Linked DNA regions of Canis lupus familiaris. The protein of the gene in region 1 purifies or fractionates together with the protein of each later gene. This does not show direct contact. Links are inferred from orthologs where the notes say so. Each region holds a gene or a part of one and is shown in the gene's direction. Other genes may lie near its edges. The genes, in order: PPP2R2B, IQGAP1, PPP2R1B, IER2, PABIR1, PPME1 and CDCA4.

Region 1 (4,178 bases):
GAGAATGGGGGAAATGGCTTCTCCAGCTTGGCTTTTTAGTGAGTTGTGTAGCTTCATAAAGGATTTTACTGGTTTCATGACACTAGCGATCCACTTTTCTTTCAAATACAGAATCTGCAATTTGGGGGAAACGTGGGGGAAGGCGGGGGTGGGAAATTCTGTATTTTCCTCCTGGGTGAAGTAGGGAGGCAGGTCTCTTTTTCGCCTTAATTGGATCTTTGAAATCTCAGGGTAGCAGGGGCCGTCTGTGGGCACAGGGCTCCAGCGTCCGTCCCATGCTGGGAGCAAATGTCAGCGGTTCCTGCAGGGCTGAGTCTTCACGGGCAACACCTGCAGGGGGGCCTGCGGCACTTTGTCCAAAACAGAGTGCGAAGGGCCGGGGACGGTGGACCTTTTCAGGCCGACTCCTCCGTGCACCAGCTTCCAAACTCAGCCCTCTTGCTTCCCTCTGCGGTGTAGACACAGACGCCCACGGTGAGAAGGGGATGTGGACTCTGCAATGGAGGAGTCGTAGGTGCTCGCACAGAAGTTCTGGCCCCCGCTCCCCCGATTCTATTCCTAGCACAGGAGGCTTCAATTAGGCGACGGCGGCAGCCCTTCCTCCCACAGCCTCCCCTCCCTGAGGCTTCGAACCCCAGGCCTCGCCGCTGAACTGGATGGAGGGACCGAGTACCTCCTAGCGGGTGAGCGCCAGGGACCCGGAGGTGGTGTCCCTGCCTACCCACGGGGACCTGAAGCGCAGGTGTCCGGATCTAGGCAGCGAGTTAGGGGCCCGGGGGGCGGGGGCGGGGGCGGGTCGGGGTGGGGTGCGGGGGTGCGGGGCGCGAGTCGGCGGCGCCCGGGGCCGCGTGGCCCGGCTGGAGGGCGGCTGGCAGAGCGCGCGCGCCGCGCTCCCGGGACCCCCTGCCCGCCGGCCCCCGGCGCCCAGGTGCGGGCTGGCGGCCGCGTGCGCCCCACTGCAGCAGGGAGCAGCCGCAGCCTCCGCCGCGGCCACCGGCGCGGCCGGGGAAGAGTCCCGGGGCTGCTGACGCGGTGGGGAGGAGCCTCGCCTTTAATGCACCAGCCGCCTCCAGCCTCCTCCTGCAGCAGCGGCGGCGGCAGCTGCGAGCGCGCGCGTGTGGGCGTGAGGGTGAGTGCGCTGGCGCCGGCCGCGGCGCCCTGCCCCGCTCCCCGCCGCCGTCCGCGCCCCCGCCCGCCCGAGCCGCCCTCCCGGGGCCCCGGGCCCTGCTCCCCGCCGGCCCGGCCCGGCCCGAGCCCGGCCCCTGCCGCCGCGCCACCGCAGCTCGGGGCCCGAAAGGCACCATTTTGTCGCGGCCGCCCGCTCGCCCGGGGGGAGGAGGGACCTTTTTTGCATTTTGGAGCGGCTGCCAGCGTGGGGAACCTGTTGGGCTTCTCCCCAAGCCCGCTGGTGAGCGCCTGCCGGGCGGCGGGCGGCGGGCGGCGGGCGGCGGGCGGCGGGCGGGCCGGACCCCTCGGGGCTCGGCGCATCTCGGATCTCGGCCCCGGCGGCCGCCGAGCCGGGCGCAGCATCCTCGCCGGGAACCGGAGCCGGAGTGAGCGCACCGCGGGAGGAGCCGCCGCAGCCTCGGAGATCCCGAGCGGAGGAGGTGACAGCTCCATTGCCGGGTTTTTATTTTTTTCTCTCCGCCTCCCCGTCTCCTCCTCAGGCTCGGACCATGGTGCAGTCCCTCCGGCTCCCCTGCCCCCCTCTCCTGTGAGACTGGCTGCGGGGAGGGATCATGGATACTTGTCTGCCGGCTTCTGGTTCCCACGCAAGTAAGCCTGCTGTCAATGGAGGAGGACATTGATACCCGCAAAATCAACAACAGTTTCCTGCGCGACCACAGCTATGCGACCGAAGGTAACGCCAGCCCCGCCGCATTCCGCCGCTGGGGCCGGGCGCAAGTTGCGGGTCGCTGGGCTCGGCCGGCCGCGGGCGCCGAGCGGCGGAGACTCCTCCGGGGCCGGGGCCGGGGCCGGGGCCGGGGCCGGGGCGGGGGCTCGGCCCGCGGGGGCAGCGGCCGGGGCGCCCCACACCCACCCGCGCTCCGCGAGGCCAGCCCGGCGTTCAGCAGCAGGTGGACCCGGCGCCCACGGGAGTTAAAATGGCCCTCGGGGATCGGGCTTTGCAGGGTGGGGCTCCCGACCGGAAAAATGACCGCCCCCTCCCCCGAAGGCACATGTCCCCCCCCCCCTCCCGAGGTGTTTGCCGAGGTCTAGGTGGGGAGATAAGAAGGGGGCCCCGGCGGACCTCCGACCCGAGGGCCTCCCCTCCCTGCGCGGAATGATGTTGTGTCTCAGGGGCTGCGGGGAGGGCACGGCTTCATTTCCTGCCGGTCTGTGCCTCCGGCCAGGTTACCTGCTCAGACCATCGGAACCCCGAAAGGCCCTTGGCAGAAGGGCAAGCCCCTCTCCCCTTGGCAGTGCATGAGCAAGAAATAAAAAGGTAGCTGGGGAGACGGCGTTCCAGCAGCGAGCGAACGAGTCTGACACGTGGGGCGAGCGATGCGATCAGTGGGGCCTTTAAAATCACCATTATGAATTCTGCAGCAGTAGTTTCTGCTGAATCAACAGCCAGCAGAAAGCAAGAGGGTTCAGTAAGCTGGGCTTGGCCAAGAGGTGAAATTGTCGAGGCGCTCTCTCTCTCTCTCTCTCTCTCTCTCTCTGCTTGTTCTGACGTTAGCAGGCAGGCAGGGAAGTCAGCAGGTGGAATCACATTCTGCCTTTTGTGTGTGAACAGAGAGTAAGAGGCATTTTTCTTTTTCAAATGCCAAAACTTTTGCATTTTTGCCTTCATTTTCTACCTGTAGGCCCTTATCCTTAAGCCCGCATAGAAAGTGTTGCATTATCACGTTGTAATATCCACGTGAGTAAATGTGTGTGAAAATGCCTTAGGAAAACACAGCAAGGTATGTTCATTTAGGACGATTCTTGGCATTGATGGGATGCTAATATTTCTGTAGTATGTAATCAAACCAAGACTCACAGAAAAATGCGATGGGTTTGGCAAGGTAGTAAAAGAGTTCAAACTCTGAAAGAAATAGAAAGATACAATTGTGGGGGCAAAGGTAGCATCTTCTATAAACGTCCCAGTAAGTTTTAGGTTAAAAAAAATGCCTAGTGAATATATTGAAAATATATTCTTCATTCATCATCATTTTTGGAGAGCATCCAGCCTAATATGTCCATGGTGCTAGACAGATTAAGCAGACTTGTATGAGCTCTGGCGTTCAGGAGCTTAGAGGTGGCTTTTAAGAGATGTTCAGCGTGTCCCTCCCCCATGCAGGCACCATACTTGCCTATTCTTTTCATTTGCAGGATGACAGGGTGGTGATAAGATGTTCTTTCTCAGTCTCAAGTGCTTTGTCACTGACTCAGTTACCAGGTAGATTATGACTACCTGTGTAGTCTCTGTGTCTCAGCATGTCATCCAAGAGAGAAGTTGGCCTTAGGTCTATTGGTTTTTCCGGGTGATACTTCTTTCTGTTTGTGACAACAAAGAAAGAGGGCTGCCTTCGTGTTTTCTTCTAGATTGCATTATGCCTCCAAGCGCAGGCACAGGAAACTTACTGAGCTGGGAAGATGGGCAAATTGGGACCGTGTGTATAGGGGTATCATCTCCAGAATGAAGAAATGAGTTAAAATGGAATTCCTTAGTGCTTTGGGGACCCCAGGTACTGCACTGATTGTTGTTCCTGTTTTATGGCATTTTTATAGACTCTGATTTTGGTTAAAATAACTGGGTTCATGTAGTCAAAAATGAGGCATGAGTTTATAGCAGACAGCTCTATAAAATCTTTCTAAAGAGTCAGCCTCTCAGAACGTTCTGTCTCTCTCTCTCTCTCTCTCTCTCTCTCACACACACACACACACACACACACACACACACCATGCCGAAAACGAAACAAAACCTTTATTTCTTAGTATGCCTTCAAGTTTCTTTACCTGATCTTATTGACAGTCTGGGAAGAAGGAAAAAAAAAATGGAACTTGGACAATGTAAATAGCAGAAGTTGGGCAGAGCTGGAAGTTCTCCATGCTCTTAATTTGTTCATTTTAGGGAACATTCATGCAGTGGTGCTGGCCAGAAGGGCAAGAGTCCATCCTCTCTCTTCTGATGAATACCTTGGAAGTGCTGAGTACACCTTGAAAGATCACTAGATTGAAATATTAATTGT
Region 2 (4,178 bases), on another chromosome or scaffold:
ATTATTTTCTATTGTTTAAATGCCATCCTTTTTTTGGGGGGGGGGGGCTTCTTTTAATTTCTACTAGAGGCTTAGAAACCAGATAACAAAGCAAACTGATTCAAATAAAATCATCACAGAAAGTCTCTTTAAGGAATGACCTGTGAGGACCTCCTGTTGAGTAAGATGTGAATGTTCTAGTGTGTGGATTTTGTGACCTCTCTCATAGCTTCTCTGTGGCCTGTTTTATATCATTCATGGTTCTTGGCTCTGTTCTATAATTGAATTCTAGAAGTCTGGACCAACAGGCTTTGATCACTCAGGGAATAACATATCCCCACTGAAGTTTCTGGGCTTATAACATATTGAGAATGAGTAATACCTTAAATACTCTTGGTAAATAGCAATGTATCTTTGGTGGTACTTGGTACTGAGTGCATTTGTATCTATGGCACCCCCTCTCATGGCTTTTTGTTCTGACCCCTTTTTGTTTACTTACACACTTCTTACAATCCTCAAACATGCATTCATCCTTTCCTCCCTCTCCTTCCAGTCTAGTTTCCCCTTGATTATCCTTTTACCATTGGATTTAAGCAGTGGCCACGGGGAAAGCCAAGAGAATTCCTGTGACATCATCCTTTCAGAGGGTGGCATTCCTCCATGGTCCCTCTTCCCACAGCATGCAAGGGCTGCAGGGAGAGGTTCCCGGCTCTCCCCAAGTCTCCGAGCATGTGGTAGTTAGAGTAGTAGCCACACACTGTTCTACCTGTAGAAGTGTTTTGGGCCTTTATTTGGTACCCCTTTTCACTCTTGAAGAAAGATTGTTTTGTTCTTTTTAAGATTTTATATGTTTATTTGAGAAAGAGAGAGGGAGAGCGCAAGTGGGAGGAGGAGCAGAGGGAGAGGCAGGAGCAGACTCCCCGCTGAACAGGGAGCCCCACGTGGGGCTTAATCCCAGGACTCTAGGATCTTGACCTGAGCCAAAGGCAGATGCTTCACAAACTGAGCCACCCAGGCACCCCTTGAAGATTGTTAATATTCTTTCTACATTTCACAGAATATTTTTATATGAGAATGAAAAAAATCACACCCTTATGATGTTATGTTTCAACAGGTTTAAAAATGTTATCTTTGAAATCAGTCCAACAGAAGAAGTTGGAGACTTTGAAGTGAAAGCCAAGTTCATGGGTGTTCAAATGGAGACATTTATGTTGCATTATCAGGTGGGTATGCACCATACAGAACTGAAAACTTTATATGTGATGTGGTTGTGTTCTTTTTGGGGTGGACAGTAGGTAAAAAAGACACATGTTTGGATCACCCTGCATTGAGCCAGCGCCCACACAGGCGGGAAAGGAGCTGAGGGCTGCTGTGCATCTGACTTGGTCTGTACTCCCTGGAGAGCTTGGGCAGATCTGGACGTCTTCTGAAAGCTTTTATCTGAAGCTACTACTTAGTGTTGGCACTAAATTGAACTGGTACCTTGACGTTGAACAAAATGTTTAAGTAATGATAGTAGAAAATTGTAAACCTATTCAATAGCTTGAAATCTTTTCTCATTTTGATTTGATTTTGGGGACTTAAAAGTGTATTTCTGACAAGATGTGTATAAATTGCATCTTTGTAAACTGAATCCCATTTTAAATTCGGGAAGAACTCTGCAGTGAATCATTTATAACATAATTTAACCTATTTTTTATTCCAAAATATTTCTAGTCTTTACGCAGTAGAAAAGCACCAGGGTACCACAAGGCCTCCTGGGCTCTGTCCAGGCTCCACAGCTCCGTGTGTGTCCTCATCACTTCTGTCCCATTCCTTGTACTGCATCTCACTGCTGTGCTCTGTGGGCCTGGGCAGGGGCCATCTCTGAACGTGTGCTGGGCTTCTGCACCTGCTGCCCACCCCCCAGCCCTCTCATTTATTCCTGCACACATGCCTGCCAGACCGTGAGCTCCTTAAGGACCCACGGTAGTGTGTCTTCATTTCCTCCTTAGTGATGAGTAGACCTTCAAACATGTTAGCTGAACAAAAGTGAAGTGATTCTGTGATGCACATGCTCAGGTGCTTACACCCAAAAAAAAAGATCCTGTCACGTCTTTAGTCTCACCAGCGTTGCACAGGCCGACCAGCCTGCCTCGGTAGCATGTTGATCCGTGCACAGGCGCATTAAATATAGAATGAGGATCAGGTGCAGGTGTTCTGTCAGGCACAGGTGACACACCAGGGCCTTCGTTCTCATGGAGCTGCTAGAATTTTTCCAGAAGTTGCATTGTTTGAACTTTGGGTTCTTTCAAGTGCCTTGACTCATTCTGTCTCTTCTGAAGTTCATGTGCAAGACTACTCACTTCCTAAATGTGCTCTGGACAGTAGAGGGCAATGGGAGAAGCAGGGGCTCTAGATCCAGATCCAGATCCACTCCATGCCACTCTGAATATCTCTGAGCCTCATCTTTAAACTCGGGATAATCACACCTATAGGACTTTTATCAGGACTTAAAAAGACACTATCTGATGTGCCTACCCAATGTTGAGCACACTGGAGGCACCTAATAAACATTTTGTCCTTCTTCCCCTTGCCTTCAAAATATAGAAATTTTCTCACGTGAAATAAAAAGTAAGACTCTAGTGGATACTATTGAGATGACGTTAGTGGCTGTATCCTGTCTTCAGTGATTAGTATATTTTATCATAGATTGAAATGCCTCCCCCTTCCCCAGGTGACCCATCACTTAGACAAACTGGAGACACGTTATTGTCAGCTCTGAAATAGGAAGTATGTGTGATGAGTGAACATGCTGCTTTTTCTTTCCATGTTTTGTGTATTTTGATATACAGATGTACCAGAATATTCTGTTGAGCAGCATGTCCCATTCCTTGAGTCTCAGGGTGGTTGTGCAGTGGACCGTTCTGTGGTTGGGCACCTCTTTTTCACACCACTTCACATTTGTCATTCCTTGTTCCTTCTGGATCCCTCCCTACATCATGTCCTTTCTTATTCCACAGACTTGTTTGACTGTAAAATGTTGTTTTTATAGGACCTGCTGCAGCTACAGTATGAAGGAGTCGCAGTCATGAAATTATTTAATAGAGCTAAAGTAAATGTCAACCTTCTGATCTTCCTCCTCAACAAAAAGTTCTACGGGAAGTAATTGATCCATTGCCACCAGACCAGAAGGATGAAGGAAAGAAGCTCCTCACGGTGACCTTTCTTGGGTCCTTCTTTACTCATTGGAAGCAAAGACCCAGGCCACAAAAAAGCCTCAACTTGATACACTCCCAACGCCACGTTTTTAACCCTCCCACTCTGATGGGATGTCTATTGCCCTTTCTTCATAGTGAAACTGTATTTCAGGCTGTCCGACCCTCTTGTCCCCTCATTTTCTTCCGTCACTTAGGAAAGAGTGGAGGCTCCACTAAAATCTCTGTTGTTATGGTCTTAGAGGCTGCATTACTCTATTGTAAGCTTTGGTGTTTAAATTAGCAACAGGGATGGTGGGGCTTGAATTCTTGTTACTTGGAAGTAGGATCTATCAACACGAATAACACATGCACATAAGGCACACAACTCACAAGTCAGGTCATCTCCTGGCATTCAGTTGTCATTTGAAGGTGAAATTCCTTTACGTTTCCATCCCATCGGTCAAATGGAAGGATCCAGGGGCTCATTGGTTCTCTTCCACTGTTTTCCTTTATAAGCAGGAGCTAACAGAAGTCAGTGCTCTGTGTTCAAAGAAACATTTCTAGCAAAGGGGAGACACAGTTTTAAAATGTTACCATTAGGGCAGCCCCCGTGGCGCAGTGGTTTGGCGCCGCCTGCAGCCTGGGGTGTGATCCTGAGACTCAGGATCGAGTCCCACATCGGGCTCCCTGCATGGAGCCTGCTTCTCCCTCTGTCTGTATCTCTGCCTCTCTCTCTCTCTCTCTCTCTCTCTCTCTCTCTCTCTCTGTCATGAATAAATAAATAAAATCTTTAAAAAAAAAAAATAAAATAAAAAAAAATAAAATGTTACCATTAGGGCAGCCCGGGTGGCTTAGCAGTTTAGCGGCACCTTTGGCCCAGCGCAGGATCCTCGAGACCCGGGATTGAGTCCCACGTCGGGCTTCCTGCATGGGGCCTGCTTCTCCCTCTGCCTGTGTCTCTGCCTCTCTCTGTCTCTCATGAATAGATAAATAAAATCTTTTTAAAAAATAAAATAAAAT
Region 3 (4,178 bases), on another chromosome or scaffold:
TCTGTGGGGATTTACATGGCTGCCTGAGATGTACGTTGGCATCTGTTTGCTTGATGAGGAAAGTGAAGTGGAGACCTACATAGCAAGCTGATGCCAATAAAGAGGGCTCCTCAACCCTGGAATCCACCTTAGTGTTTCTTCCTATGTTGCGTGGGTTTGACCTGTCACAGGTTTGAGAGACTAGATCTTTTTCCTCTGTGCTGCCAAGAAGACAGGAACCTGAAGGTACGTCCTGTTTCATAAGGACGCCCTGGTTAATGTCTGGTTTTCAATGAGGGCTTGTTGAAGTCAGAGTCCTCAGCTCCCAGAAATGCCACAGCTTGGCCACTGGGAGCCAAGGCCTCAGGGGTCTTTGCTGGATGGCTTGTTCTGACTCAGCCCGGCAGCCTGACCTGTGAGCCGTCTCATCCAAGCATCTGCGATCCTTGCATAGGCCTTCTGGGGAGACAGACCTGTCATTCCTGAGCCAGTGGTGGAGCTCCAGCAATGCTTTCTTGGTGCAATCTTATGTATTAGTCACTGTGTTGCCACAGAGTTGACAATCTGGTGCTTTCCTGCAGAAGTCACAGTGGCTGTGTCCCACCCAGGGATGGTGGGCAGGGTGGCCAAATGCACTGCATGCTAATTCTTCCTTCTTGCCTTTACTTAAATTCCTCTAACACTTGATTTTCCTCCTGGCACTCTTCTCTTGGAGTCTCCTCTGTCATCTCTGCTTGGAAACCTGAGGGGAGACGGAGCTGTACCCTCACTTTAAGGCTGAAGTGATGGGTACTCTGTGCTTCTATGACAGTCTCCCTCTGTTGTGTGTCCTGCCTCCATTCCTTGCCCCTTCTTCCTGGTCACTCACATGTCTCCCGTCCTCGTACCCGCGGTGGTTTCACTGTTGCCCGTTTGTCTCCGTGAACCTGCTGTTTCCAGGAAATTACATAATGTTCAGTTGAGATGGAAATCTGGAAGATGAGTTTAATTACTCATTGGGTAGAAAAGCCAAGTAGTTTATTTCTCCAGAGTTCTCTGAGGCTGATATTACCAGTTCTGGAAGGATCCAGGTCTTTTCTGCCTGGTTGGGGGTGTGTAGGCAGGCAGTGACCAAGATGCGGGGGAGCCCCGAGCTGACACTTTCCATGGCGCTCGAGGGAAAGGCACTTTCAGGAAGGTTCTAGGGCGAACCAGCTCTCTCTGCCCAGGGGACCACACGCTTGTAGGTTCCTGTGCTCTGCCCACCTGGGGGCGTCCTGCCTGGGAGGCGCAGGTGGGCTGAGGAGGGCCGTGCCCTGGTCAGGGGGTCAGGGTCAGGGGCGTTACTGGACTGCTGTCTGTATCTCTAGCGGTGGCCCAGAGACTGAGGAAGCTAGATTTCCCTGTGAAGGACAGTGAGGAGCCCAGCGGCCCTGGGGCTGACAAGAACCACTTCCTGAGACCCAGAGGGCCTGGAGAGGACACCGGGAAGGTAAGTGCTGTTGACACCTGGGTCCCTTCCTCTGGGGGCTGAGGTGGACATGGTCGCTGTGGCCTGGCATTCCGGCAGGTAGCCACTGAAGCAGCGCCCTAACTCCCTGCGGAGACAGGCCGGCTTTTAGGGCCAAGAGTATATTTTTAAAGCCTGTTGTCCTCTCTCTTGTCCTTCGTCCTGAGAGTATTTCTGAGGGGTGGGCATTTCGGAGCTCTGTCACTCCTGTGGCTCGGGGTCCCCCCTCCCCCCCGCCGCCCCGCTCAGAGACAGCGAGGCTCACACACCGGACAAGGGTGCTTGGGGAAGAGCTCTTACAGAAATGGGTTATTTCCACTAAGCTCAGAGACTATAGACCCTCCATATTTGCTACAACTCCGCTCAGGTGGTCCTGTCCGCTCAAGGACAAAACCATTCCTGTCACTTTTACTGGGTAATGGTCCAAAGCCCCATTTGATGCCACTCTAGAGAAGATGTGCAAACGTTTTGAATTTGAGCGTCATTGTTTGTTAATTGGAGCTGGTATGGGTCACAGCCCTGGGGCTGTTAGGAGGGTGCCTGGGGCTCACAGATATAGTTGACGCTTGAACAGCGTGGATTAGGGGTACTGCCCCCCTTTCTGGTGCAGTCAAAAATCTGCATATAACTTCTGACCCCCCCCCAACATTGCTACTGATAGCCTGTTGACCAGAGGCCTACTGACACCACCAACAGCCCGTGAGCGCACACTGTATGGTGTGTGTGTTCCATACTGCGCCCTTACGATCCAGTCAGCTAGAGAGAAGAGCACGTGTTAAGAAAATCCTAGGAGAAATACACCGGCAGGACTGTGTTTGTGGGGTGACCCCGTCCGTGGCCCCCGCGTGGCTCAGCCCGTGTTGTGTGAGCGTCCGCTGGGCCAGGGAAGCCCCGCTGCACCGACGCCGGCACTCGCCCTGCAGGGGTGGGGCTGCTTGGTGAAGGCTCTGACATCGAAACGCTTGTTCTAAGGCCCCGTGGCTTTCCCTTCATTTCATGTAAACTGAGGCCATGAGAACGGTTTCCTGTTGTGCAGGCCGAGGTGCCGCGGGGCTGGTCTGGGGGGCCCCGCGCCTGAGCCCTCAGCCCTTGGGTGTCACGGAGCGCGGCCTGGGAGGAGCCCTTCACTGAAGGAGCAGGAATGATAGTCGCATATTTTTAGGCCCGACCCGCAGCCCTGCTTGGGAAGAAAGGTGTGAGGGGCTTTCTACAAGTTCAGGGCCGCCTGGCCGGGCCATGAGGTGCCTGTCGCCCCTGACCTGGGCCTGGAGTAGCTGGGGACCGGCCCTGGTGGCCGAGTCGGTCCTCACAGCCCTGGGTGGGAGGCGCTGGTTTTCCCGGGGCGCCAACCTCCCCCCAGTCCTGTTCTGCCTTCTGGGGCTTCCCGGCCCGCGGGAGGCCCCTGAGGCTGTGGACGATTTAACCCAGAACCCCCTGGCCTGACCCTCAGGCTGCCTTCCCCGCCTTTGTGTGACCCTAGGAAAGTGGCCCGGGTGAGAGGGAGGGGACGGAGTGCTGCCAGCAGGGCCCTGCGTGTCAGGGGCCAGGCGCCAAGTGAGTGATCCAGGAAGTCATCCAGAGCGAACCAGGAATCCTTCTTAACCCCTCGCTCACTGTCCCTGTCGCGGCCCTGGACCCGCCTCAGCCGCTGCTCGTCGCTCGTCGGGGCCCTGGGAGCCGCGGGAAGTCAGGGCCGGCAGCCCCGAAGGGAGAGTTAGGGCGGGGGCGCTGCCGGGGCCTGCCGGGGCCTGCCGGGGCCTGCAGAGCTGCCAGCTCCCGCGGGGCCTGCCAGGGAGCAGCGCTGCTGAGCCCCCGCAGGCCCAGGGCAACTCAGCTGCCCATTGGTGGTGTTGGCGCGGCTGGCCCCCCCCTTCTCACCCTCCCATCCCCCCACCCCCCGTGGCCACCCTCCTGGCCTCTGACGAGGGAGCTGCCACTGGCCTGTCAGGCGAGGGTTAACAGGGGATTTGTTTATTGAATCACGAAGTAGCTGTCACATGATTTTAATCAAAACACCATTTCCCTGACAACAGTGATGTCAGTCCTGTTATTGCAGGAAGGAGCAGCTGTGAGGGACGTTCAGTCTCCCCGCGAGCGCAGGTCTGGGGACTCGCATCAGGCGAAGCATCCGTAAATAGCGGTTGTGGGCGCCGTGGGGCCGAACCCCCTTCCTCCGCTCCCGTCCATCCAGCCGCCTGTCCAGCCGCCTGTCCTGCAGACACCGGCCGAGGAGTCTCCTCTCCTCCTGCACCCCTTGCTTCTTTCCGCCCTTGGGTTTTTTTTTTTTTTTTTTTTCAGTTTTACTTATTTTCCCCAAACTCCAAGCCATACAGGCCCCGAGGATGTCTGGCCTCTGTCCCCTGTGCTCCCACTAGCCCGCAGTGGGGGGATGGGGGACATTGTGTGGCTCAGGAGTCTCAGCTCCTGGGTGAGGAGGGGCTGCTTGTCCTTGTGACCCCCCCCTGCCCCCCGCCACTGAGAGAAGTCGGGGGGCTTCTGGGGCCATCTACGGAGTTTGGCTCTGGATGCTGGGAGGGGAGAGGCCTTTGCTGAGGACAGAACGGAGCCGAGGGAGGCCAGCTGGAGCAGCGCCCTCGAGCTCTGGCCTTCTCGGCACCGTCTCCCTGTGGGACTTTGGGGACTGAGAAGGACCCTCAGGCCCTTGGACCCTATGCCCAGGAGCTTGACCTGAAAGTTGGAGGTGGATGAC
Region 4 (4,534 bases), on another chromosome or scaffold:
TCGGGGCGGGAAGTCTTTAGTTCTTGGAGAGTCTGTGCGCCCCTGTGCTTCAGAGTCGCTGCGTAGAGTCTCAGAGAGAGCGCGCCTGGGCTGGGGACGTCATTGTGGATTCGCCGCGGTGGTGCAGGGGGAAATGGGGACCTCAGCAGGTCGCCGGAGCGTGTGTAGGGTCGCTGAATAGGGACAGTTTTAAGAAGAGCAAGTAATTGTTGAGTCGAGTTTCCCCTCCCTCCCATAAATGAGGACCGGGCGTGAGGATTCTCCAAGGCTGCATGATTTGGCGGGGAGGGGAGAAGCAAGAATACCTGGGGGAGAACCTTGTAGGGAGAAACAATTGTGGGGTCTCTATGGGGTAACAAGGATGAAGGGGTCGTCAGCGAACCGCCCCATGTGTTGGCAAGGTCTTTGTGTAGGGTCTCGGGGAGTTGGCGTCAGTGAAAGTCCTGAGATCGCCCCTTTTTGCCAGCGGGGGTTTTCCCGGAGGCGTCACGCCTTTTTGGCCTCCGGAGCCCGCCGGGTTGGACTCCGGTCCGGAAGCCGGGGCCTACAGCCAGTCGGAGCTGCCGGGAGAGCGACACGGTTAGGGAGGGGGCGTGTTCCGAGGCCAAGGCGCCGCCCCCGCCCTCCCGGAAGGGGGCTGCCGCGGCTCCGAGCGGAGATTCCGGCCCCTGTCCTTATATGGGCAGCCGGAAGCGCCTCGCGCGCCTGCCCTACGTCATCATACCCAAATTTAGCCGTGGAAGTCTGGCGCTTCCAGTGGCCGGAAGACTCTGCCCGCCTGTCGGCGGCTGGGGGAGGGGACGGAGGGGGAGAGAGGAGCCTTCCCTTAAAGGGCCCTTGCCACGAATGAATAGAGCTTAGGAATAATTTTGCATCTTGTTTTGGAGGAACTGGATATAGGTTTTCTTGGAGCGATAGGGCGTAGCGGAGGGTGGGGCCGACGTTTTCTATCTGCTCTATCTCTGCGTTGCTCAGTTTACAGCTTTTATCCCAGCCTCGCTGCCCGGGGCGCAGAGGCGGAGCAGGGCCATGTAGTCTTAGGGGGCGCTGCCACGTGTTCACGGGGACTGTCGTGTTCCCGGGTCCTCTGTTCTGCGAGTCTCCAGCCCACTCGTGGAGCTCGTGTAGAGGGAAACTGGAGGTGAAGGTGGTGTTCGGTGTGGAGCGCACGAATGGCAGCCCGGGCTGCACTCGTGTCTGCACACATCCACTCCCCGTGGAACGGGCAGCTACGGCCCTGGAGCCAGCCGCGCTGCCCGCCGCCTCACCGCCTCAGACAAGGGGGCTGAGGAGGGTTGGCTTACGCTAGAGACGCAAGAGCTGGAGGCCCCAGTGGCCCATTTATTCGTTTAGCAAATATTGAACAGTGTCACTCTGTCTCGATATCCCCACCTGCAGAAATCAGGTGTAACAGTACCCTCCGCGGAGTGGAAATGAGGCATCAATGAGGTATTTAGTGAAGGAAAGCCCTTAACAGCGCCCGGCGGGTAGTGCTTAGTAAGCGTTAGCACGGTTACCCAACCAAAAAACATTAATAGGTTCTGATTCAAAAACCATTAATTAGACACCTGGTAGATGCTAGGAACTGTGGCCACGGAGGATGTGCCGGTTCGAACCCGGTCTTCCCCCGTGCGAAGGGAAACTTGCCGCCTACAATCAGCTGGGGTTTCAGACGCAAGCACGTGGGTGGATTCGGACCCGCACCCGCGGCTCCCCTCTTCTGAGCCTGCGCACCGGCGCACGGAGGGCCCCGAGAAAGGAGACCACCCCGCGCGCTCCGCGTGGACTCGGGAACGCTCCCCCTCACTCCGACTCCCGTCCCTTCTCCCCCACTCGGTAAATTCCACCCTGTCGCTTTAAGGAGTATCTCACCGCCGCGCGTTGGGAAGCCCGGATGCGGCTCTCTGATTGGGCGGGGCGTCTCGGTGACTTCACTCTCGGTACAAAAGGGCCCGGGTGGCGGGCGCCGGGGCAGAGCGTCCCAGCAGTGTCACGGCGTGGGCTGGCGTGAGTGGAGAAGCGTGAGCGAGCGCTTTGCCCGGAGTGCACCTGCTACCTGTCCTGCCCAGCCAGGGAGTCCCCGCCGCCCTCGCCCCTGCCGTCGAGCCGCCATGGAAGTGCAGAAGGAGGCACAACGCATCATGACTCTGTCGGTGTGGAAGATGTACCATTCGCGCATGCAGCGCGGTGGCCTGCGGCTGCACCGGAGTCTGCAGTTGTCGCTGGTCATGCGCAGCGCCCGGGAGCTCTACCTCTCGGCCAAGGTGGAAGCCCACGAGCCCGAGGTGCCCTTGCCGCCCGTCCGCTCCCCCGATCCTCGCCTGCACCAGTCGCGGGAAGCGGAAGCTGGAGCCGAGGCAGCGCCCCCCGACGGTGAGCCGACCTCCCCGGAGCCCATGGACACGCGGGAGGCGCCGCGAGCGGAGGAGACCCCAGCCCGCTGTGCCCCGCGCCCCACAAAAGTCAGCCGAAAGCGGCGCAACAGCAGCCTGAGTGACGGCGGGGACGTCGGACTGGTCCCAAGCAAGAAAGCCCGTCTGGAGGAGGAGGAGGAGGAAGGAGCCTCCTCGGAGGTCCCTGATCGCCTGCAGCCACCTCCCGCGCAAGCGGAGGGCGCCTTCCCCAACCTGGCGCGCGTCCTACAGAGGCGCTTCTCTGGCCTCCTGAACTGCAGCCCCGCCGCCCCCCCGACGGCGCCGCCGGCGTGCGAGGCGAAGCCGGCCTGCCGCCCCGCGGACAGCATGCTGAACGTGCTCGTGCGGGCCGTGGTGGCTTTCTGAGGGTCCCCGAGCGGCGCCACCGGAGCCCAAGCGCGGGCCGAAGCGTCGGCCGGAGTGCGCAGACCCGAGGCGAGGCCCGCCCCCGGGGGAGCGCCCGCCGAAACCGTGGAGAGGAGCTGCCGCCCGGGCTGCTGAGGCCTAAAGAGGGACTCTGCCCCCGGGGAGCCGTCGCCGTCTGTGCGCAGCGGCGGCGCCGAGGAGCCTGAGCCGGGAGCGCGAGCGCCTTCCGCCGAGACCTGCTGCGCCCACAGGTGCTGTCTTAACGGACTGGGACGTGGACCTTTCCCTCTCCTTCTGGGACTGGGAGCAGGGAGGCTTGGTTCTTTCAACTCCTCAGGGTCGGACTTTAGTTTTTACTGGGAGCTGTGCTGCCCTTTCAAGGTTTTTCAATAGTTGGTGTTTGCATTTCCAACCTCAGAGAATTCCAGGCAGGCGCTCCCCTTCCCCCACCAGTGACATACTTGTGCAAGCGGTCATCGTTGCGTCATGGGGCAGACGTGGGAGCTTCCTGTTGCCTTGCGTGGGTGTGGGGCCTGGGAGGAGGGTCTGGGGTGTGGACCGCCCTGGGGAATGGGAGGAGGGCGTCCTGAGTCACCTCGCACCGCTTGCTGCGGGTTTGTGCCCCACGCCCCTGCGCCTTCGGGTGCATAGCGGGGGGGCTGATCTAATTTCAGGTTAAAATTTTTCTCATCTGGTGCGTTAGAGGTGGGAATATGTTCACGGTCTCAAGCGTGACCATCCCTCAGACACAGACACAACCCAGACGATCCTGGTCTGAATCACAAAAATTGGGTGGGGGTGTTTGGAGCTCTGTAAGGCTGAGCTGGGACCAGTTGCTGGTGAGACTGGGCCAGCCCGGGGAGGGGAAGATTCTTGCCAGGGCGTTCTGAGGTCTGTTTACCTTTACTGTGGTGGATTCTGTTTAATTTCATCTATCTGGCCTTTTGCTGGAAACGCCAGATAGGAAAATAAAGAGCATTTGAATAAAGTCTTTGCGGCCCGTCTGGTTTTCTTCCCTGATGGGGGGATGGGCAGGGTTAAGGGGTCAGGAGCGGGCGGCGGCTTGCTGGGGCCCCAGAAACCGGTCTGACCGGCTATCACGTGGGCAGAGTGGGCGGGATGGGGCTGGGCCCCCTTTTCTTTGCCAGAGCATTTCCGTACTGGGTGCCCTGAGGTTCCGACTCCTTAAGCTCCCCCATATTTGGGAGTTTCTTAGAAATTCGAAAACTCCGGGGGTGGGGAGAGGTGGGCTTCAGGTGGGTTGAGATGTCTGGGGGAAATTGGGTGGGGACTTGGGAAAGATAGCAGATCTCCCCCCACCCCACCCCACTTGACCAACTGCATCCGCTTTGGCTGGGGCCCCACGGCTTGGGGGGGAACTGAGGTGAGCTTTGGAGGGCCCTTTACACCCCTGCTCTCATCTCTAGCGGTATAGTTGTGTGACTCAGGCCGGGAAGTGAGTTCCCAGCCTCAGTTTCCTCATCTGTGAAGTAGGCCTCTAAACAGCTTTCCCGCGGGGCGACTGGAGATTTGGAAATGCCCGTGAGAGCCCTCGTTACTGGATTTGGCTCCATTCCAGCTCCATGTTAGTCACCCCAGAGGAGAAACGCTCATCATTTACCCACCGCTGATGTAGGAGAGGGGCCGCAAGGCGTTGCCCCGGGGCGGGTGGCGGGGTGGCCGTGGGAAGGACAAAGGAGCCGCAGGTGCGGGCCGCCAGGGCGGCGGGAGGCCCCGGGAAAGCCGCCGCCCCG
Region 5 (4,607 bases), on another chromosome or scaffold:
CATCTGAGGCCTGTCCTGTTGGTTCTACTTCTCCTTGTCACCACGGCTACAACCCTAGCCGGGTCCTCTGCCTGCGCCTCGGCGGTCGGTTCCTCATCGGCCTCTCTGCTCCCACCCTTGCCTACTTTCAGCCTAATTCCCACCCAGCCCAAGTGATCTTTAAAACCTAAACCAAAAGAACACCACTCTCCTGCTTTAAACTCCCCAGTGGCTTTTCATTGTACTTGGGATGAGAGATCCAGACTCCTCTGCGCCCTCACAACCACTCTCCCCCCTGCCCTTTCTTCTCTTGGCGCCAGCTCACCAAACTGACATGTCTAGGGCTTTACTAGCACGTGCTGTCTTCTGTGCTTAGAGTATGCATCCCCCAGATGTCAGCGTGACTTGCATCTGGAATTTAGATCTCCGTCCTTTCTAATTGCCCGCCCCCCCTTTCTATCAGTAGTGCTCTATCACACCATCTTTTTTTTTTCCCCCCTTTCCTAAGGTTTACCACGATCTGAAAACAGCTTTATTTATTCATCTCTCTCTTTCCTTGCAGTAGAAATGAAATGCCCTCCTATTAGGGCCTCCTTCCTACCAGTGCTTAGTGCATAGTAGGTATGCAAAAACAAAACAAACAAAAAACCCCAAACCGTGATTTTCATGATACCAAAATTTATGTTAATTGCCTAAGCTGAGTGTTGTGTTTTTAGAGCGTGAAGCCCTCTTACTTTTGCCTCCGTTTAAACCCTCGTAGGGAATGAAGATGATCTTGGAGCACACATGCTCGTGCTGGAAACGGGACTAAATTAAGAGGGCTCCAGGGACAGGCTGGCTTTCGCTCCGGGGCCTCAACAGCCTCCCCCTCTCACCCCCCACCCCTGCTTCCAGGACTGCCTCTCCTCCGGCCTCCCTCCTGCTCCCTCCTGCTGCTTCTCCTCTCCCAACGACCCCATTCCCTGCAGACAGCAGCCTGCAGGCTTCGCTGCGGGGGTTACACCCTTTCCTTGACCCCACCCCCCCACCCCCCCCACCCCCGGAGCTTTCATTGTTCTTAGGATCAGGGCCCGGGCCACCACCTCCACCTCCGGCAGGCCAGCCCCCCCCCCTCCCCCGGTCCCCGCCGCCCACCGCGCTTCCCCTTCCTGGACGCCCCGCAGCCCGCTCCCGTTCCGTGTCCTCCGGAGGTCAGGAGACGGCCCCTTCCTCAGGGAAGCCCTCCCTGCTTAGGCCAAGCTCCGCTCCCCTTCGTACGGCCCCCGCATCGCCACCAGCCTCTCTGTCAGAGCTCTGCTTTGCTACACCCAGACTCCGGGGACTATGGTGACCTTCGGAAGCCGCGTCGCCGCGAGCTTGCGGCTCGGTAGTAGTAGCTAATTGCGGAAGAAAAGGGCTGAACGGCCGCCGCCGGGCCCCTCGGCGCCCCTCCCCCTCGGGCTATGACGCATTAAGCAGGCGCCGCGCGGAGAGAAATCTCAGGGCGCCTGCGCGGAGGGGCACGCATGCGCAAGAGGACGAGCCCGCTGACAGATTGGCGGCGGCGGCGGCGGTGGCCCCAGCCCTGGCCCTGGACCGCGGGGAATGGGAATCCCAGGTCTCTGAGCGCCGCCCCCGCCTCCCTGCCCCCGACATGGCTCAGGAGAAGATGGAGCTAGACCTGGAGTTGCCTCCGGGTGCTGGCGGGAGCCCGGCGGAGGGCGGCGGCAGCGGCGCGGGCGGGGGCCTCCGGAGGTCTAACAGCGCCCCCCTGATCCACGGCCTCAGTGACACTTCGCCGGTGTTCCAGGCCGAGGCGCCGAGCGCCCGGCGGAACAGCACGACGTTCCCGAACCGCCACGGCCTGCTGCTGCCGGCCTCCCCGGTCCGCATGCACAGCAGCCGCTTGCACCAGATCAAGCAGGAGGAGGGCATGGACCTCATCAACCGAGAGACCGTCCACGAGCGCGAGGTGCAGAACGCCATGCAGATAAGCCACTCCTGGGAGGAAAGTTTCAGCCTGAGTGACAACGACGCGGAGAAGTCCGCCTCCCCGAAGCGCATCGATTTCATTCCGGTGTCACCAGCGCCGTCACCCACCCGGGGGATCGGGAAGCAGTGCTTTTCACCATCCTTGCAAAGTTTTGTGAGTAGCAATGGATTGCCTCCGAGCCCTATTCCCAGCCCAACGACTCGGTTTACTACCCGGAGAAGCCAGAGTCCCATCAATTGCATTAGACCAAGTGTTCTTGGACCACTGAAAAGAAAATGTGAAATGGAAACTGAGTATCAGCCAAAGAGATTTTTCCAGGGCATCACCAACATGCTTTCTTCTGACGTTGCACAGCTGTCAGATCCTGGCGTGTGCGTATCGTCTGATACCCTTGACGGAAACAGCAGCAGCGCCGGATCTTCTTGTAACTCACCAGCGAAAGTCAGCACTACCACCGACTCTCCTGTGTCGCCTGCCCAAGCGGCCTCTCCATTTATTCCAGTAGATGAACTTTCATCTAAGTGATTCACCCTCCCATCCCGAGACTCGTTGTTTTCTGTTTTTGTTTTTGTTTTTGTTTTTTTTTGCAATGGAGAGAAAAATCAAGTTGGAGCAAGCACTGAACTTTGTCAATTAATTTGAGGCTATTTCCTATTCGACCCTTTCCTTTTTTTTTTTTTTTTTTTTTTTTGGAATTTCCTGAGATGTTGTTACTCTAGAGAACTTTTATGTCAGGTTCCTGCGGGTGCCCTTGAATTCAGTGTAGTGATATTTTCAGACGTTTTCCAATAAGTGTGTTGAAGCATACGTCTTTATGCTGCTAATATGTTTAAATACATATGTTATCCCTTGATTTTTTAAAATAATCGAGAGCTCTATTTATTTATGGGATTATTAAGTTCTGATGCAAATATAAATGTTGAATTAATCAGTATAGTAAACTGATGTTTTAAAATTCCATATTTCATGCCCACACTAATTTTTGATGTTATTTTTCCAGTGGTCGCTAATTTCTATTTGATGGAGGATAACCTAGTTACTTACAGCGGTTTTTAAAAATATGTTAGTTATAACATAGTGATCCAGTGGTTGTCTATTTTACCCAGGAATCCTCGGATATTTAATTTTCTGGGTACACAAGTGGCTGTGAGGGGGGAATGATAAAAACAAAATATAAAAGTTTGCAACAAGTCTTTTTAAATTAACTATATAAAAGTAAACAAACGCATTTTCTAATGAAGTTTTAATAGTAATTCTAATAAGTCATGCCAATATAACTACAGAAAAGTTTAAAAATTTTTTCTAGACCAGAAAGTGCATTCTCTTGGGTATAATCCTGAAGGGACATGGGACAGTGCCTTGCAGTCTTAGCCCACTGTACATAGGCTGAGACCAGGTCCTTTGTACCACTGCAAACTTAAAAGTTTCTCAGATGTAGAGAATGTGGGAAGCCCTGTTGAACTTCACCAGAGCACCCAGGCAGATAAAAATCTCTCAATCATTGATATGCTTTAAAATATCCAATTGTGCCTCAGTGAAAATCCCTGCCAACAAGGAGCCAGAGCAACTTTTGGCTGCTTTTCTGCTCTGCCCATCTGTTACCTTCCTGGTTTTCCCTGGCTCAGGAAGGAAGCCGCTGTTTCCTTGCCAACAGGTCCTTCCTCTCCACCTCCCACCAAACTAGGGCATCATCGGTTAGACAGAGGTACAGTGTGACTTGGATTTCCGACAGTGAGCAACAACAGAACTGTGGAATTGTTGCAGGAACCTGTGTAGTTAAAGCCACAGCTGGATTTGACTGCCTTGGGGATGCCAGTTGATTAAGGGTCAGTGACTTGAAAGAGAAAAAAAAAAATCAGTGGAGAGTCACATAGGTAAATCGTTATTTAACTTAGATTTTGTTAAAGGTAGAATTGTGAAATGTTCTTTTCTTTGCCTTTTACAACTAAGACAAAATATGAAAATATTTAATAACAAATGTTTTTATATTATACCTTCCTATATCTTCCTTTACTAGATAGGTAGAAAGAATGGCAGACAAAAAAAGGGGAAGAAATAAAAGAGACCAAGACAAAAAGCTCCGGCTTTCTTTAAGTAACTGCCTACAGAGACTTTAACAATTATGTGGAATTTTTTTTTACAACTACGAGAATAAATGGAACTAGTCAACTTTTGAAAGTTGCCTTAAGAGTTCAATGAAACTATGTTGAGGGTAAGATTGTGTCCACAGGCTTAAAATTCTCTGTTCTGGGTAATAGTTCATGTGTGCCAGTCCTGACCTTGTTCCTCCAGTATGTCCAACTTCCTGTTGGGTACCTTGATCTGCTTCCAGACGTACTGTAACCTCAGCATCTCCAAAACAAAAGTTAGTATCTTTTCATCGAACCTGTTCTTGAGTTACCTAAATTGATGTGCTCGCTGATTTTCTAAACGAGAAACCATAGAAAGCGTTTTTGACTTTCCCCTTTTCCCTGTCACATCCAGCGTGATCACTCAGTTCTGTCTACTGAAGTGAACCTGAGACCTCTCCGCTACACTGCTTCTGTTGCCTCTGATTCAGCTTAGGTTCCAGCCTAAGTGATTTCCCACCTCCCCTCTGGCCTGGTCTTCACCCCACCTCTAAAGTGATCTTTCTGATATATAAACTTGATTTTCC
Region 6 (4,178 bases), on another chromosome or scaffold:
AGCTAGTGAATGACAGCTCAGATTCAGTCTCCTGTGTATTTGACATCTGGGCCTATATTATGGACTTTATGCTTAAATGTTCAATCTGAGTAATATCTAGCAGACACAGTGTAGTCTTTGAATAAGCTATGAGACTGCCTGCTTTTCAATGCCCAAATATTTTGAGATCTGATTTGTTGAATCAATGGTAAAGCATTTTGTGAGGAAGTTATATGGCTTGTATTCAGGTAGTTCAGCAATTTTAAAAATTTTACTTAGTATGTAAATTTAAGTATATCTTCTCTTAATATGTAAACTTATGTATATAGTGTGTGTTTTAATTGTCACCTAGATATCATGTGGAACCTTCCTGCCCTTCTTGATCTAGGTGAAATTCTCTTGAATTTCCTAATCCATAGCTGTGGAAATCCAAAGCACAAGTTGTTTCTTTGTTATACTACCTTGATCTTAGATGTGAAACTTGACACCTCAAGTCCCATAGAAAACCCCCACCTGACAAAACATTTCATGAACACACCACTTTACTGAGACTGATAGAGGAGACAAGGAAGGACAAGTTATCACTGTTAAAAATCCACCATTGAAGTTTCACTGACCCTTCAATTTATCCCAGTCTCTTTTTATCTTGCCTCTTCTCTGTCCTCTTCTCCCTTCTCTCTCCCTTTCAAGGGCAAAATAACAAATTCTTTATCATGCAGAACAGAACTTGGCACTAGCTGCTACCTAGGTTCTTGGGATTTTTACCTTTAATATTGCCAGTGTATTTTTTCCAGCAAGTTCTTTCTAAAAGGAATTATGGTATCAACTGTTCATATAGTAATATTTTCTACCTAATTATATAATAGAGATTTTTTTTTAGAGGAAAAAAACAACAGTAATTGATTGGATCAGATGTTCTAATCTCCAAGGTTCAGCTGGCTCTGGTTATTGTAATTATCAGTTTCTATCAGCTAATTGAAAGTAGGGGCATTTTACCAAGCTGTTTGAGCCTTATTCTACTGGAAGCAGGGTACAGTAGAAAAGTACTATGCTTTCAAGTTAATTAAGCCTGGATTTGCCTTCCAGCCTCATCTGCTAATGAGCAAGGTGATCCTGGACAATTTTTTTTTACTTTTCAGGGCTACTTCATAGGATTATTATGTGGATTATATAAGATAATATATATATTGTCACCATGCCGCAGGAAATGATTATTCCCTTCTGTGGGTCAGTATTGGTGCAAGAACTGGAAACCAGCCTTTGGAATATAGTCCATGACCATGACCATGACCTTCCACAGCCCTGATCTATTTCTGCACATTTTAAAATGCACATTGTTCACATCCTCCTTCTCCCAGAAGCATTGTTAAGTTTTAACTGACATTTGATTGTAAAGACTATAAGTATCAGTATCTCTGAGATAATTGTGTATAAAAGAGAGATGAGATGTGTGATGGAACTTTAAAAAAAAAAAAAAACCATCTAGGTGTGAAGGAATTACAAGTCCAGAAGGCTCAAAATCTATAGTGGAAGGTATCATAGAGGAAGAAGAAGAAGACGAAGAAGGAAGTGAGTCTGTAAACAAGAGGAAAAAGGAAGATGACATGGAGGTGAGTGAAAACTGGTATTCTTGGAAGGATGGGGCAATGAATGGTTCAGAGTGTGTGGGGGTGCGGAAGGGGAGGTGACATGTTCTTTTTGTTCACCATTAGATATTTTAGGGGGTGAAGATCTTATCATCATAGATATTTAGGTTAACTATAAGATATAAGGCACTTGTTGATAGCTCTGACAAACTGAAACATAAACTTACAGTTATATACCCTACCCTTAAACAGACTGCTCTCTCATCAGATTCTTTCCCATGATGGTACTTCTGTTCCTATGGTTTATCTCATGAGAAAAATCTGATTTCTTACTTTCTATGCTAAACCCATCAGATATTATTCATCTTTCAAGGTGGATCTCTTTGGAGAAGTTTTCTGACCTCATTTTACATCAGTCTATCTCCAGTATAGCACTGAATCTGTATAACATAACTTAGCATTTTCTTTTTTGAAGTTGTGGCTAAGTCATAGAATTAATTTTCATAAACCACATCCTAAGATACTATGGTCTCCTGTAATCATTCTAGAATGTAGATTCAGTGTCCTCTAATTGCACAAGAATTGTCACCCAGCAAAAATAACCTGTGTATTTTGAGCACAGGAACTAATGTTCTATATGAATTTCCCTCAGCATTAGGTTGGGGGTGGTGTGCTTCACAAGTGTTCTGTGCATACTTGTTGAACACTTGATCTGGGGATAGTAGTGGGAAAGGGTGCTTTTTTGGGGAAATGGTTAGTGAGCGTGAGCATGAGCAGCAGACTTTCTGGGATGTATTATAAACATCTTACAAATGGCAAGTAATCAACTTGTTGTACACCAGATATTCCTTGATGTTTGGAGATGCTACTAATCGCGAGGAGGAGAAGACAATTGACCCGTGAACAATACGGGGCTTATGGACACTGACACCGTGCCCTCCCCCACCCCCCACACACACTGTCAAAAATCCAACTCTAAGTTTTGGAGCACTTGGGTGGCTCAGTTGGTGTCCAACTCTTGATTTCAGCTCAGGTCATGATCTTAGGGTCAGAGATTGAGCCCTACATGGGGCCCTGTGCTGGGTGTGGAGCCTGCTTAGAATTGTTCCTCTCCTGCTCCTCTGCACACACCCCCACTCACCGTGCACACTCATACAATCTCAAAAAAAACCCCAAACCAACTATAACTTTTGACTCAAAAACTTAATTACTAATAGCCTACTGTTGGCCAGAAGCCTTACCAATAATATAATTAGTTGATTAATATATAATTTGTATATTTATATGTATTAAATACTGTATTCTTATAATAAAGTAGCTAGACAAAAGGAAATATTCTTAAGAAAATCACAAGGAAGAGAAAATACATTTATAGTACTGTTTCCAAATTCATGTGTGAATGGACCTGCACAGTCCAAACCTATATTGTTTAAGCATCAACTGTACATTTTTTTAAACAGAATTTTTAATTTTTTTTTTAATTTTTATTTATTTATGATAGTCACAGAGAGAGAGAGAGAGAGGCGCAGAGACATAGGCAGAGGGAGAAGCAGGCTCCATGCACCGGGAGCCTGATGTGGGATTCGATCCCGGGTCTCCAGGATCGCGCCCTGGGCCAAAGGCAGGCGCCAAACCGCTGCGCCACCCAGGGATCCCCAGAATTTTTAATTTAATGAAGATCTTTTTGTCGTCCTTAAGATCAATAAGTAATTCTGTGTACCTCTTAGAAATTTATAAAAATATAAACAGTGCATGATTAATTTGCCCTCCGTACATTCTGTGAGGTGAGATCTTTTCTCCCATGTTAACAGTGTAGAAACTGAGACTCTGAGATGAAGAGACTTGCCCAAGGTAATGAAATAATATTTAGTAGATCTAAGATTCTGATACAAACTGTCAATTACTTTTTTGCCTTTTATGTACTGGGAGCTATACTAAGTATATCATATTTATCATCCCTAGTTCTCATTTTAGCTCTTCACTGTAGATGCAGTTACAACTCAGGTACAGTTACTTGCCTACAGACACCTATAATGTTGGTGCTGAAACACACCCAGATCCTCTGGTTTTTAATTTCTGCTTATTTTTTCCTTGTAATTTTTTTTTATAAGCCCAGTTATATGGAGTTAGTCAACTCCAGCAGTTTTGTTAGGAGGGCAGACTGAAACACATCAGGCAATAGGGAGTACAACTGAAACAGTCTACCTTTGAGGAAGGGCGCAAACCCCAAACAACACAAACAACTTCTTGCAACTGGTAAATAAATAGATCCTGGAGATCCAATGTACAGCATAATAATTACAGGCAACAATATTATAAACTTCAAAGTTACTAAGAGACTAGTTCTTAATTGTTCCTAGGACAAAAAGAAACTGTAATTATGTGACATAATAGAGGTATTAGCTATCGCTATGGTGTTGTATATTGTAATGTCTAAATGTATCAAATCAACACATTGTACACCTTAAACCTACACAGTGTTATAAGTTAATTATATCTCAATAAAGAAAAAGTAAAATTATGGAGAAAATATTAATAATGCAAATTAAACTTAGCAACTACAACAACAAAGTCACAACTTCTAAAGCATGGTAGCCAGGGGCCATTTAGAGC
Region 7 (3,400 bases), on another chromosome or scaffold:
GTAACTGCAGCCGTCCCCTCCCAGGAACCCCGTCTTTGACAGTTGCAGACTGAGTCTCAGGGCAGCGTCTGCTGGGGACTCTGCAGTGTGCTAAACGGCATCTCCTTGCTTTCCACAGGGCACGATGTTTGCACGAGGGTTAAAGAGAAAAAGCGCCGAGGACGGGGAGGACGTGGAAGGAGGCCTGGCGGGCACCCAGGCCACGCCTTCCTACAGCCTGCAGCGCCAGTCGCTCCTGGACATGTCCCTGGTCAAACTCCAGTTGTGCCACATGCTGGTCGAGCCCAACCTCTGTCGCTCGGTCCTCATAGCCAACACGGTCCGGCAGATCCAAGAAGAGATGACCCAGGACGGGACCTGGCGGGTGCTGGCACCCCAGGCGGCAGGGCGGGCGCCGCTGGACCGCCTCGTGTCCACTGAGATCCTGTGTCGCTCGGTGCGGGAGCAGGAGGGGGAGCGCCCTGCCGCTGACGTGGGAGATGGCCGCACGCCAGGCCTGGTCCCGGGACTTTCCGCGGTCCCATCTGCACAGGCCCTGCGGAGCCCGCAGAGCAGCCTCTGGGAAGTGGACAGCTCTCGAGAGAACAGAGGAGGCTTTCAGAAGTCACTAGATCAGATCTTTGAAACGCTGGAGAGTAAGACCCCTGGCTCTGTGGAGGAGCTGTTTTCAGACGTGGACAGCTCCTACTACGACCTGGACGCGGTGCTCACGGGGATGGTGGGCAGCACCCAGTCAGGCCACGGCAGTGGGCTCCAGGCCTTCACCGCTGCGGCCACCCCGCCTCCCGGCTCCAGCTGCAGGTCGGATCTGGGCGAGCTGGACCACGCGGTGGAGATCCTGGTGGAGACCTGAGAGGGCCCCTGTGCCCCGATGGGACACTTCACGGATGGGTTCGTAAGGCGTCCAGAGTGGCCGGGAGTGCTCGCTGCCGTGCATCTGCGAGCTCAGCGCCTGGTTTGTCTGTGATGAGGAGAACCTTCCAGAACAACATCTAGTCGCCCTCTCCCCTTTCTTCCTGAAGGGGCTGCGTGGTTTTCCATTGGGCTGGTCACCCAGGCCGGCCGCTGGTGTCCTGCTGCAGCTCCGTGACCAGCCTGGTTTAACTTTAGATAGGTGAATTTTTTTAAATTAAGTTTTATATGTTTTGGGCAATATTTTGTCTTAAGATATATTTTTTAAACTTTTTATACTTTTATCTTTTTAGATTTTTTCAGCTATTTTCTTAAAAGTATATTTTTTCTATAAACATTTTCTGCTGCTACATTAGAAACTTATAACCTAAACAGTTGCAGTCGGTGTATTTCTTTTTATAAGGTTTAAATAAGGACTTTTTTACACGAGGCTTCACTATGTTCTGTGTAGCGTACCTGGATCATGAATTTTCTCTTTATGTTGGCGTGAGCCTTCTCCACGTCCTGTTACAATTAGAGCACCTTGCGCTGCCCCACCTCTTATTCTTGAGTGTCATTACCAGATCTGCTGTGCCAGCCATGTCTCCAGTGTGGATCTCGGAGGGTTTTATTTATGCCTATTTATGTGTCAGTGTTGGAGGCGAGGGTCTCCGGCCCCCGGGGGCGTCAGGCGGTGCCTTCAGGGGCTCTTGACTCCCGGGCCCCCTCCTGTACGTGCCCTGCCACCGTGGAGGCCCCTGACTGGCGTGGACATTGATCAAGGGAAGCGTCATTAAAATGCAGTGAGGAGTCCGGGGGGCTCTCCCGCTGTCCCACTGGACATCAAGGATCGTAAGTCACTGGCCCAGCAGGAGAAGCTTCGGCCGGAGAGTTGGTTCCAGGCCCCACGGGAAGAAACCCACCAGAAACGGCCAGAGACGAGTCCCTGTCATCCTGGACTCCCACTTCTCGCCTGTGGACTTCTGTTCAGAACAGCCCTTCCAACTTCCTCCCTCCTCCATAAATAACGTTCCTCTCATTTGTTGGCCTTGCCTCTGGTTCTGCCATAGTGGGTTGCGATTCTCTTATTCCTGAATAAACCCATTCTGCTGGTAAAACGGTCAACACTCGCCTGGCTGCTGGACCCACGTTTACTGGGCTGGCGTGCACAGGCTGCTGGGTGCCCGGTGTGCATGGGAAGGGTGCTGTCTGGGTACCGCGGGCCTGCAGAGTGCCACGCTTGCTCTGGGACGCTGGTGCTGGGCAGAACTTCAAGGTTAAGTCTAGAATTAAATTTGGACACTCACTACATGTGACCTCCCAATCCTGGGGGCCGTTGGTGGGGTTGGTGGGGCAGGGCCACCTAAGTGGGCTCTGGGGTACCTGCGCGCGTGACCCCGTGACGCTGTCCTGGACGCTAGGAACACTCAGACCTTTATTTGTTTCACTGGTTTACATGTAAGACCGCACTCTCTCCCCACTCCTGCCCCACTCCTGCTTCTGCCTTTCCTTCCTTACCCAGCCCTTGGCCAAAAAGACCTGTTTCTTTCCAACATGTGACCTTTCTTTAACATCAGCCATGTATGCGTCTCTTTATTAAAAATTATCCATCAGGGATCCCTGGGTGGCGCAGCGGTTTGGCGCCTGCCTTTGGCCCAGGGCGCGATCCTGGAGACCCAGGATCGAGTCCCACATCAGGCTCCCGGTGCGTGGAGCCTGCTTCTCCCTCTGCCTGTGTCTCTGCCTCTCTCTCTCTCTCTCTGTGACTATCATAAATAAATAAAAATTAAAAAAAAAAAAAAATTTTAAAAATTATCCATCAAACCAAATGGAAATGTGTTCTTTATCAGCTGCATCATAATTCTCCAGGGGATCTCTTTTTCCTAGTTCAGTGCGGCCGCATTACCCATTGCACTTGGGTGTGTTAAGTCAGCATTTTGCCGACCACCCACACTTTGTGGTTCTGCACCCACCTCCCTGCCCCAGGTCTTGGGCTGGATTTGGGGACGGTGCCCTTGGAGGAGCCAGGACCAGGCTGAGACTTCCACCCACTGCCTCCTTCAGGTTCCATAGGTTTTTCTTGTGGAAAATAAAGTATTTTTTATAAGGTATAACCTGAAGTGGTGTGAAAATCAGGACACCCTCTAGAATGGCATCAGGGGGAGCACTCAGCCCCACCACTCACTGACCACTGCAGACCCCACAGGAAGATGCGCCCCTTGCTCCTGGACACACTGCTACCATCCCAGCAGGAGGAAGGAAGGTTTCCTCCTGCCCTGGCAACAGCCCAGCCAATGGGAGACTGTCTCGCCCCAGGCAATGAGAAATGTCTACACTCCAAGCTCCCAGTTTCCTCCAATGGACTTGCTGTTTACAACACGCCCCCACCCGCCCCATCAAAGAGCCTCTGCTTTGCTCTCAGGACTGTGGGTGGCCTTCCTGGGGCTCGTCCTGGATGGGAGTTCTGTTATTCCCAGATGCATCCACCTGCCCGAGGGAGAAGCGTGGG

Evidence for each region.
Region 2: the proteins of PPP2R2B (region 1) and IQGAP1 purify together in Homo sapiens (co-immunoprecipitation; 3 studies listed by BioGRID and IntAct, with this or other methods). This does not show direct contact. The link is inferred for Canis lupus familiaris from reciprocal best matches to the Homo sapiens genes PPP2R2B and IQGAP1.
Region 3: the proteins of PPP2R2B (region 1) and PPP2R1B purify together in Homo sapiens (affinity purification with mass spectrometry; 4 studies listed by BioGRID and IntAct, with this or other methods). This does not show direct contact. The link is inferred for Canis lupus familiaris from reciprocal best matches to the Homo sapiens genes PPP2R2B and PPP2R1B.
Region 4: the proteins of PPP2R2B (region 1) and IER2 purify together in Homo sapiens (affinity purification with mass spectrometry; 3 studies listed by BioGRID and IntAct, with this or other methods). This does not show direct contact. The link is inferred for Canis lupus familiaris from reciprocal best matches to the Homo sapiens genes PPP2R2B and IER2.
Region 5: the proteins of PPP2R2B (region 1) and PABIR1 purify together in Homo sapiens (affinity purification with mass spectrometry; 4 studies listed by BioGRID and IntAct, with this or other methods). This does not show direct contact. The link is inferred for Canis lupus familiaris from reciprocal best matches to the Homo sapiens genes PPP2R2B and PABIR1.
Region 6: the proteins of PPP2R2B (region 1) and PPME1 purify together in Homo sapiens (affinity purification with mass spectrometry; 3 studies listed by BioGRID and IntAct, with this or other methods). This does not show direct contact. The link is inferred for Canis lupus familiaris from reciprocal best matches to the Homo sapiens genes PPP2R2B and PPME1.
Region 7: the proteins of PPP2R2B (region 1) and CDCA4 purify together in Homo sapiens (affinity purification with mass spectrometry; 4 studies listed by BioGRID and IntAct, with this or other methods). This does not show direct contact. The link is inferred for Canis lupus familiaris from reciprocal best matches to the Homo sapiens genes PPP2R2B and CDCA4.

What each region holds. Positions count from the first base shown.
Region 1 is NC_049223.1:40,433,106-40,437,283, reverse strand, and holds part of PPP2R2B (serine/threonine-protein phosphatase 2A 55 kDa regulatory subunit B beta isoform), read left to right. Parts: intron 1-984; exon of another isoform or gene 985-1,129; intron 1,130-1,254; exon of another isoform or gene 1,255-1,408; intron 1,409-1,667; coding exon 1,668-1,861; intron 1,862-4,178. UniProt on the Homo sapiens protein: The B regulatory subunit might modulate substrate selectivity and catalytic activity, and might also direct the localization of the catalytic enzyme to a particular subcellular compartment.
Region 2 is NC_049224.1:54,170,239-54,174,416, reverse strand, and holds the end of IQGAP1 (ras GTPase-activating-like protein IQGAP1), read left to right. Parts: intron 1-1,093; coding exon 1,094-1,202; intron 1,203-3,013; coding exon 3,014-3,127; 3' UTR 3,128-3,910; downstream 3,911-4,178. UniProt on the Homo sapiens protein: Plays a crucial role in regulating the dynamics and assembly of the actin cytoskeleton.
Region 3 is NC_049226.1:21,381,167-21,385,344, forward strand, and holds part of PPP2R1B (serine/threonine-protein phosphatase 2A 65 kDa regulatory subunit A beta isoform), read left to right. Parts: intron 1-1,328; coding exon 1,329-1,450; intron 1,451-4,178. UniProt on the Homo sapiens protein: The PR65 subunit of protein phosphatase 2A serves as a scaffolding molecule to coordinate the assembly of the catalytic subunit and a variable regulatory B subunit.
Region 4 is NC_049241.1:49,468,430-49,472,963, reverse strand, and holds IER2 (immediate early response gene 2 protein), read left to right. Parts: upstream 1-1,912; 5' UTR 1,913-2,111; coding exon 2,112-2,780; 3' UTR 2,781-3,769; downstream 3,770-4,534. UniProt on the Homo sapiens protein: DNA-binding protein that seems to act as a transcription factor. Involved in the regulation of neuronal differentiation, acts upon JNK-signaling pathway activation and plays a role in neurite outgrowth in hippocampal cells.
Region 5 is NC_049222.1:89,251,435-89,256,041, reverse strand, and holds PABIR1 (protein FAM122A), read left to right. Parts: upstream 1-1,497; 5' UTR 1,498-1,612; coding exon 1,613-2,476; 3' UTR 2,477-4,129; downstream 4,130-4,607. UniProt on the Homo sapiens protein: Acts as an inhibitor of serine/threonine-protein phosphatase 2A (PP2A) activity. Inhibits PP2A activity by blocking the substrate binding site on PPP2R2A and the active site of PPP2CA.
Region 6 is NC_049242.1:24,168,491-24,172,668, reverse strand, and holds part of PPME1 (protein phosphatase methylesterase 1), read left to right. Parts: intron 1-1,465; coding exon 1,466-1,589; intron 1,590-4,178. UniProt on the Homo sapiens protein: Demethylates proteins that have been reversibly carboxymethylated. Demethylates PPP2CB (in vitro) and PPP2CA. Binding to PPP2CA displaces the manganese ion and inactivates the enzyme.
Region 7 is NC_049229.1:72,866,066-72,869,465, reverse strand, and holds the end of CDCA4 (cell division cycle-associated protein 4), read left to right. Parts: intron 1-118; coding exon 119-853; 3' UTR 854-2,504; downstream 2,505-3,400. UniProt on the Homo sapiens protein: May participate in the regulation of cell proliferation through the E2F/RB pathway. May be involved in molecular regulation of hematopoietic stem cells and progenitor cell lineage commitment and differentiation.